2 linked regions of the Rattus norvegicus genome follow. The protein of the gene in region 1 interacts with the protein of each later gene in a pairwise test. Links are inferred from orthologs where the notes say so. Each region holds a gene or a part of one and is shown in the gene's direction. Other genes may lie near its edges.

Evidence for each region.
Region 2: the proteins of Stau1 (region 1) and Nxt1 interact in binary tests that used the Homo sapiens proteins (3 or more experiments, as listed by UniProt). The two-hybrid records come from large-scale screens. The link is inferred for Rattus norvegicus from reciprocal best matches to the Homo sapiens genes STAU1 and NXT1.

The regions. Positions count from the first base shown.
Region 1 is NC_086021.1:176,142,112-176,146,271, reverse strand, and holds the start of Stau1 (double-stranded RNA-binding protein Staufen homolog 1), read left to right. Parts: upstream 1-1,324; 5' UTR 1,325-1,504; intron 1,505-4,160. UniProt on the Homo sapiens protein: Binds double-stranded RNA (regardless of the sequence) and tubulin.
Region 2 is NC_086021.1:156,560,714-156,564,936, forward strand, and holds the start of Nxt1 (NTF2-related export protein 1), read left to right. Parts: upstream 1-1,407; 5' UTR 1,408-1,513; intron 1,514-3,582; 5' UTR 3,583-3,640; coding exon 3,641-4,063; 3' UTR 4,064-4,223.

The DNA.
Region 1 (4,160 bases):
ATCTGGGTAAGTCAGAGGAGGGTCTCTCTAGCTACAGCAGATAGCATTGTGAATTCATGCAAAGTCAGCCACAGTGCTGTGGCAAGGAGACTGAGTTGTTAGGCAAACTATTTATTTATTTATTTATTTATTTAATTTTTTGTTTTTTTGAGACAGAGTTTCTGTCTGTAGCCCTGGCTGTTTTGGAACTCAAGAGATCCACCTCTCTCTGCCTCTCCAAGGGCTGAGATTAAAATGTCTGTGCCACTACCACCTGGCTAGGGTTTTTTCTGTGTGTGTGTGTGTGTGTGTGTGTGTGTGTGTGTGTGTACTTTTGGGGTAGAGATGGAACCTAGAGCCTTGGGTATCTAGCTATGATGTCTACCTAGGTGCTTCAATCACAGGCATCACTTAAAATAAGCCGCAGAGGATCCCATAACCTCTGACAAGGATCCCATCTTTCTAGTACTAAAGACCTCTCTCCCCTGCCTCCCATAAGAGGGCTGTTACAGGGCTGGAGAGATGGCTATCAGTTAAGAGCAGTTATTATTCTTGAAGAGGACCTGTCTCACAACTGCCTATAACTCCTGCACCAGGCAGGAAGTGACAGCACTGGACTCAGTGGACACCTGAACTCACACGCTCATACATACCATGCACACTCACACATACACGCACACGCGCGCAAGAAAATTAAGAAAACCCAAGAGGGCGAATAGAAAAGTTACATCATGAGTGGGAGATGGAGCTCAGTGCTAGAAGTTTGCTTCAATCTCCAGGACCACATCAAAGAAACCAACACCAGCCTCTTGTCCACAGAAGCACACTCAGTTTAGAGCTCCGTGAAAGCAACCAGAAAGTACTTGGTGCTTGTCTTAAAACAGAATCAGACTTCATTTACTGTGCTTTCCCCAGTAGAATGTAAACTCCATGAGGGCCGGGACTTGTGCATTCTCACTGTATTTTCAGTTTCTGACCTTGTACACAGCAGCAGGTTAACAAATGTTAGTATAGGAAGAAGGAGTGAACGCAGGAAGGAAACATAAAGCCTGGACAAGAAAGGAAGTTAGGCCTGCTTTCCCTGCCGAACCGGAGCTCCTGGGAAACTACAACTCCCAGTACACCTTGGACTCAACGCAGCGGTGCCTGGCCCCCGTTGGTCTTACGTGCCTAGAGAGCGCATGCTGGACGCGGCGCCTGCTGGGACTTGTGGTTCCTGCCACGGTGGGGGGGGTGGGGCCGGCATGGAGGCGGGCGGGGGCCGGGGGCGGGCGCGGCCCCTCCCCCGTCACTTCCTGCCGGGCTGCAGGCGCCGAGCCACTCTTCAGCGTTTGCGCTGGCTGTCGTCGCGTCTGTGTGCGCTCCCCCTTCTTCTGACCCCCGGCCCGGCGGCGCCCGCCTTCTCCGCAGCCACTCCGTCTCTTCCCTCCCCCGGTCTTTTTTTCCTCGCCCTCTTCTTTTGCTTTTCTTCCTCGCCGCCGCCCAATACCGCCGGCCCCGGGACGAGCTCTGGGGAAGCAGCCAGGTAAGGCGCTCGGGTCGGGCCGGGCCGAGCAGCGGAAGGACCCACGCAGGCACGGCGTCAGCGGGAGGTGGGCGGCGGGTGGGCTAGGCCTCGAGGGCGCGGGAGCTGCGGCCCAGGCTCATCTCCGCCCGCGGGGCCTTCCCGGAGGAGGCGGGCCCTCCGCGCTGCTCGTGGGCCCAGTGCGGGAGTTAACGCGGGGGTCGCGGGCAGGGGCTGGGCCGGTCGGCAGGCCACCAGGTTTCGGTGCTGTGCACAGTGTTGCGGCCACTGCGGAGCTGTGGGATAAGGTGCCAATTCCCGGCTCTGTCCCCTTAGCAAGTCACTTCGTACTCTTTGTGTCTCTGTTGTGAGGGGGAAAAGGAGGGGGAAGAGTATTAATCCTGTCCCAACCCCGTCCCTGCCTCTTCAGGCTGTGAAGTTGCAGTGAAATGGGGCGTGTAAAGCGCTTATCAGTGTGCCAGACCCACACCGTGTCCCAATAAACCGTTTGCATAATTTATTAACGTGGTATGAAAGTATAATTTAGGCTTCAGACTGGACAGAAGTTGACCTACCTTCCCATTTGGGTTTTCTCCGAGGCAGAAGAATCCCTCGTGCCCACTGCCAGTGCCTGGGCATTGTGCTTGCTTGGCACCAGAAAGGGGCGCGCGCTTAATGGGGACACTGTAGCAGACAGGTTATGGATGTAAAGCCATCCTTTCTGTAGAACCAGTTTCAGGCACTTCACTGGCTCCCGTAGGCTCCGCAACCTGTCCCATGTTTCCTTGCCACCACCCAGAACGTTATTGTCATTCCTTTTTATGAGAAAGTTGCTGGCATAAGCTCCCCTTGGGTTCAGCAGACCTTTTTGGAGCCCTCTTGTGTGTCAGGTTCTGGAGGTGGAGTATGCAAAGATGCTAAAACCGTGCTTTCTTGGTCCACATCTGTAGTTCTTCACTTTCTTTAGCTGAGCTTCGATTTCACTCCCGGTACCTATCCGTTTCCCTTAAACTCTGGCCGCACCTCCGTCCTTGTGGCAGTATTGCTGGTCTGAAGCTTTATCTTGTACCCTTTTGCATTTTGCCCATGTATTGTGTGCCTTTTAAAGGTCACTATTTTCAACTGCTTATAGCTGAAATTCTGTTTCTGTTTTTTTGCTTGCTTGTTTGTTTTTTTCTGAGATGTGGTTTCTCTGTGCAGCCCAGGCTGTCCTGGAACTTGCTCTGTAGCCCAGTCTGGGTAACTGTAATTCTTGAGAATTGGAAGTGTTGGAAGAGATTTAAACTAGGATTTTGGTCTTTCAGGGATCTGTGCTTACCAAATGCAAATTACATCACTACTTGTTGAAGTAAAAACTAAAAATACATTTGGGGAGTGTGGAGGGAGAAGTCTTGGTCATTCTAGTGAACTTTTAGTAGACTCTTTATTCTGACTCAGCCTTTCTCTTTTCTTTAGTAAGATTAAGTACTCTTTTTTTTTTTTTTTTTTTTTGGTTCTTTTTTTCGGAGCTGGGGACCGAACCCAGGGCCTTGTGCTTCTTAGGTAAGCGCTCTACCACTGAGCTAAATCCCCAACCCCTTGTTTTTGTTTTTAAATCTGTGCTTAGTGTCATAGGTGTCCTCCTCCTTAAAGAAACACAGCTGGTACAGGAGCAGATTTATAAGAGCAATTCAGTGTGTGTTTTCTGTGCTCAATGCTCTTCTACATGGAGGCCGGAGGTCAACTTCTGGTGTCTTGTCTTCCTTGACGGCTCTCTACCTAATTTCCTGGAACAGACTCTGAGGGTTGCTGCCTTTCCTGGGCTACTCATCTCTTCAGCCTCTCGGCAGATTGTTTTAGGCAGTAAGTTTCTTTAATAAGTGGAGAATGTTTATATCACACCCATCTGATATTGCATGGCTGTGTCTGTGTTTTTGACATCTTCCTAGTGTTTTTGTAATGTCAGGAAATAGTTTCTAGCGTCCATTGTTGAGTGTAATGGCTTTTCTCTTTGTTTGTTTGTTTGTTTGTTTTGGATTTTTTTGTTTTTAGAGACCAGGGTTTCTCTGGGTAACATAGCCCTGACTGTCCAGGAACTTGCTTTGTAGACCAGGCTGGCCTTGGACAGAGAGGTCACCCTGCCTCTGCCTTTGGAGGAGTCCTGGGATCAAAGGCATTCAATATTTGTCTGCTTTTCAATTAGTCATTAATAGTTCAGGAACTGTTGATTCAGTCCTTAAGGAGTAAGGCTGAAATCTGGGCTGAAAAGTGGCATTCTCCTAGAGAAGGGGAGTCCGCTAATTCTGCAGCTGTTTTCCTGCTGTGTATTAATCATATGTCAGCCAAGAAACCAGACCCCAAAAGAAAGAAAAAAAAAAAAAAAAAAAAAAAGAGAAAGCGCAGTCAGTTCTAGTATACAAGAAATGTCATTTCATTGACAGATTAACAGTCAGCCTGATATGACCTGGTTAAAGTCAAAATGACTAAGATTATGATAGATTTAGGATTTGTTTTCAAAACAAGCTAGTTTAAAGGAGGGAGTTCAAGAAGAGACAAGATGGACCTTAACTATGAGTTAATAATTATCAAAGCTGGGTGACCAAATACACAGTGCCCTCTATAGCATTCAACTTTAATACTTAAAAACAAGACAACTGGGGTTGGGGATTTAGCTTAGTGGTAGAGCGCTTGCCTAGCA
Region 2 (4,223 bases), about 20 Mb from region 1:
TCATAAGTTCTGTGACTCCAAAGAACCCTGACTAATATGGGGGTTATGAGGTAGTAGGGAAAGAGAGACAGAGGAGAGAGAGATTTTTCATTCTATTCCCCAGAGAACCTTGACTAATACTCTCAACCGTGACAGTGCTCAGTCCCTTAGAATCAGAGGTATTTCTAATCTCAAATTCAAGGGCTATTGAAAGAATAAAGGTCTAGTTCTCTCTCAAGAAGAGTCCTTGGACCTATCACTGTTTTAAGCCCAGGTTTACAGAGCATTTTTGTGTAACTACTGCTCCAAAAGCACTTATTCATCCTCAAAACTCAGCCTCCAACTTATTTCTTTAAATAATGAAAACTTGTCACACTTAACTCCAGTGGGAAGTAACCTATATTGAACAGGCATTCTGGTTTCTTAACTCTAAAAGCAAATGCCCCCTTAGTAACATGAGCAAAAGGAGCCAAGAGGTTGCTAACAAAATACAGATTAAAGTACTTAATTGAACGTAGCCACTTCCAAAGGCTCTCCTAGCGGGGCAGATGACGCAGAGTCGGGTCTTAGGAAAGTTAGCCTTTTGGGTTTTGTTACGCGCGGCAGTTCCCCAAGTTCCTATGTGAAATGGCTCCATTCTTTCGCTAAGCATCTAGACTGCTCCAGATTAACCAAACTGCGGCGCCTTAAATGAGGTGGAACTGCGCCGCAGCTGGAGCCTGTAGGGAACTCAATTTGCACCGCACTGAAAGTAAACTACCATTATTTCTCTCCTCCTCCGCGTCTTCGACCTCAATTCTTTTCACTTGACTAAATTTGTTATTTCTTTTAAGTTCATCTGCATGCCGACTCTAAGTAGTTTTACCTTAGAAAGGGTGCGCTCAGCTAAGATGTTTGACCACAAGGACTTCCACAGACTCTCTCAGACTTAGCCTTCACTCGGATTCCTACACGGGCATCTATGTGCTTGCTGGGTTCAGTCCAGAGCCTTACTGAAGCCATGTTGCTGTCTCCCTAGATATGGTCAACCAGTGAAGCTCCACGTTGAAGCTCCACGAGTCTCCACAGGATATAAAGCCAAGACAGACAGGAGAGGAGCAAGATGCAGCAGCGGGACACTTCTCACCAACCAAACCTTCCACAGCTAAGCGCGCTAACTCCACCTCCTCCACGCCGTCCAATCAGAGCTCGCTCAATCGGATCTTTTGGGCTCGCGCCTACCCCGGAAGCCACCCTGATTTTGCAGCCACACTTGGGCGGGGCCAGTCTTTCTACTGGCTCCCGTAGCTGCCCGTCGCGGGGAGGCGGGAGCCGGCAGGAACCGAGACGCTAGCGCCTGCGCAGAGTGAGGCTCGCGGCGCGCGGGAAGCTGCTACCGGCGCCTAACCGTTCCCCGCCTCCTGGACGTCGGCTCTTCAGGCGGAGCCTCTAGGAGGAAGAGGAGAACAAGAGAGAAACTCTTCTGGCCCGGGACCGCGGCCCGGGCGGGACCCGGGGCCGAGTCGCCTAGGCGACGTTGACCGAGACCGAGCAGGTAAGTGGGCGCTCCTGCCTGGCTGTGCTCCGGCCGTCGGACAACGCCGCGGTACCAGGGACCTCTTCCCTTCTCTTAGACTCAATAAGACATGGGTGTTGTCCTTTCCCCCACGTGGTGTCTCTGCAGCCTGTGCAGAACAGTGGCGGTGAGTTTGCCATACTTGGAGGAGAGCAGCAGTTTGGGGATGTAAGAAGCGACTCAAAGCTGGAAATGAGGCCCGGGGCACGGCTGCCGTTTCTAGGGTCCAGCTCCAGCTCCAGGAGACTACAGTGTGAACCACGGCAGTGGAGCATCTTTCTGGCTCTCGCTCTACAATATTTCTGTCTTACTGCTTTTTCCTGAAATGAGAAAGATGACTGGGATCTGTGTGTAGCTGAGGACCAGAAATGGGGGTGATCATCTTTGGGGGGCGTGACCAATGTTAGACCGTGTTTGGATGAAGCATCGTGGCCTAAAGAAGCGGAGATGAGGTGGTTGGACAGAGAAATATGGTTACCTGGGAGAACATTGCTAAGCCAGCATCCCTAGAGCTGTTTTTATATAGAACTGCTTTAAAAAATCCTGGAACTTAGTGAGCATGGCGCCGACTCCCTTGCTTTCCTAGAATGAAGCATCCAAGATCGTAACCTCTTTTTGTAAGTTGTTACATTGATTTGTGCAATGATGATTGAAGGAATGTACCTAAAATGCTAAGCAAATAGCACTTCAGATTGATTGTTGAGTCTGAGGACCTTGGAGAGAGCAATATCAAGCTGGTCAGAGTTCATCTATAGGACCAGCTTTGCTCTGTGTGGAATCATCGTTCATAAACTGATAGTTGTAAAAAAGAAAAGTTGGACCAGGCATGGTCCTGCACCATTATTTCCAGCACCAGAGGCAGAGGCAGGCAGATCTCTGAGTTGAAGGCCAGCCTGGTCTACATAGACGTGCCAGAAATATATAAGAGACCCTGTCTCAAAATAATAAAGGCTCTTGAAATGGAATTTTTTAAAAAAAGTGTTCCCAACTTAGTTGTAAGCTTACTCTGTAGAGACCTGTTTCTGAAAATTGGAAAATAATATAAATTACTTGTGTCCAATATTTTCATTAATATTGGTCAGTACTGGGTTCTTTCAAGTGGAACTTTTTAATCATAGGAAAAATTAACAGCCATACCTGTTATGAAAAAACAAACATGCTGCTTATGTGTTGGAACTTTCATCTGAACTATGGTATTTCAGATTCTCCCTGAGAATCTGTTCATTCTAGAGCCTTCTGCTATGGTGTCATGGCCCCTCTGGTCTTACATGGTGGGCATTAATGCTGAAGAGGTAAATTTAGTCGGTCTTGGGTTTACTTATAGGAATTGTAACCACTGTCCTCCACTCCCCTAAGAAATATGCTGTTCCCTGCATCTTTTGGGTCCTTGTTGTGTTAGTTCGTGGTAGTTTTTTTCCTGGAAGGGCATCTGCTCTCCCTCTGATACACTTTATTGGGTCAGTAATCACTCATCCCTTCAGCAGGAGCCACTGGTTTTACTAAGATTAGCCACACCCTGGTTGCCTGGGGACAATCACACCTCTCCAAGCTTTCAGGAAAGAGCAGTCTTTAGGTATCAATTTTTTGAAGATGAAACAGGATTAGAAAGATTAATAGGCAACCATTCCTGATCTGTATGCCTTTGATCCTGGGTGTGTGTGTGTGTGTGTGTGTGTGTGTGTGTGTGTGTGTGTGTATCATGATCCTGCCTTTAAAATAAATAGGCAAGAGTCTGAGCCTGAAGTCATCTGCCTTTAATATGCAAATGTTATCTATGGAAAAAATAGGGTTGGGAACTAGATGGGTCAGTAGCTAAAGGTGCTTGCTGTCAAACCTACCGACCTGAGTTTTTGACTCCTAGGACCCACATGGGGTAGGCAGAGAGGACTTTTGCCTGGTCACCTTTGACTTTCAATGAGCCATGGCATGTACCAAACTGACATGCACACAAATACTATTTTAAAAATTAAAACTTGAAAGAAAACTTTGGCCAGAGCAGAATAGATTTGATATTCACTTGTGTTCACTTTACCTTTGCTGTCCTACAGTCACTGGATCCCTAAGGAGGCGGCATTCTGGCAGAGGCCTCTGGCAGCAGACCCAGAGATGGCATCAGTAGATTTCAAGACCTATGTGGACCAGGCCTGCAGAGCTGCAGAGGAATTTGTCAACGTCTACTACACTACTATGGATAATCGGCGGCGGCTGCTGTCTCGCCTGTACATGGGCACGGCCACTTTAGTATGGAATGGAAATGCCGTTTCGGGACAAGAATCCTTGAGTGAGTTTTTTGAGATGTTGCCTTCCAGTGAGTTCCAAATCAACGTGGTAGACTGCCAGCCTGTTCATGATGAAGCTACGCCAAGCCAGACCACGGTCCTTGTGGTCATCTGTGGAACAGTGAAATTTGAGGGCAACAAACAGCGGGACTTCAACCAGAACTTCATCCTGACTGCTCAGGCGTCACCCAGTAACACAGTGTGGAAGATAGCGAGTGACTGCTTCCGCTTCCAGGACTGGGCCAGCTAGTGGGGGTGACAAAGGCAGCTTGGCTTTAGCCAAGCTCTGCAGAGAAATGCCAGTCTCAAATCTCAGGACGTGGAGAACACTAGTTCATTTTTGTTGTCACAGCAGCACTGCAAACTGGATGTTCGACTCCTAGAAACCCCTTTCCTGGTTATATACTGGT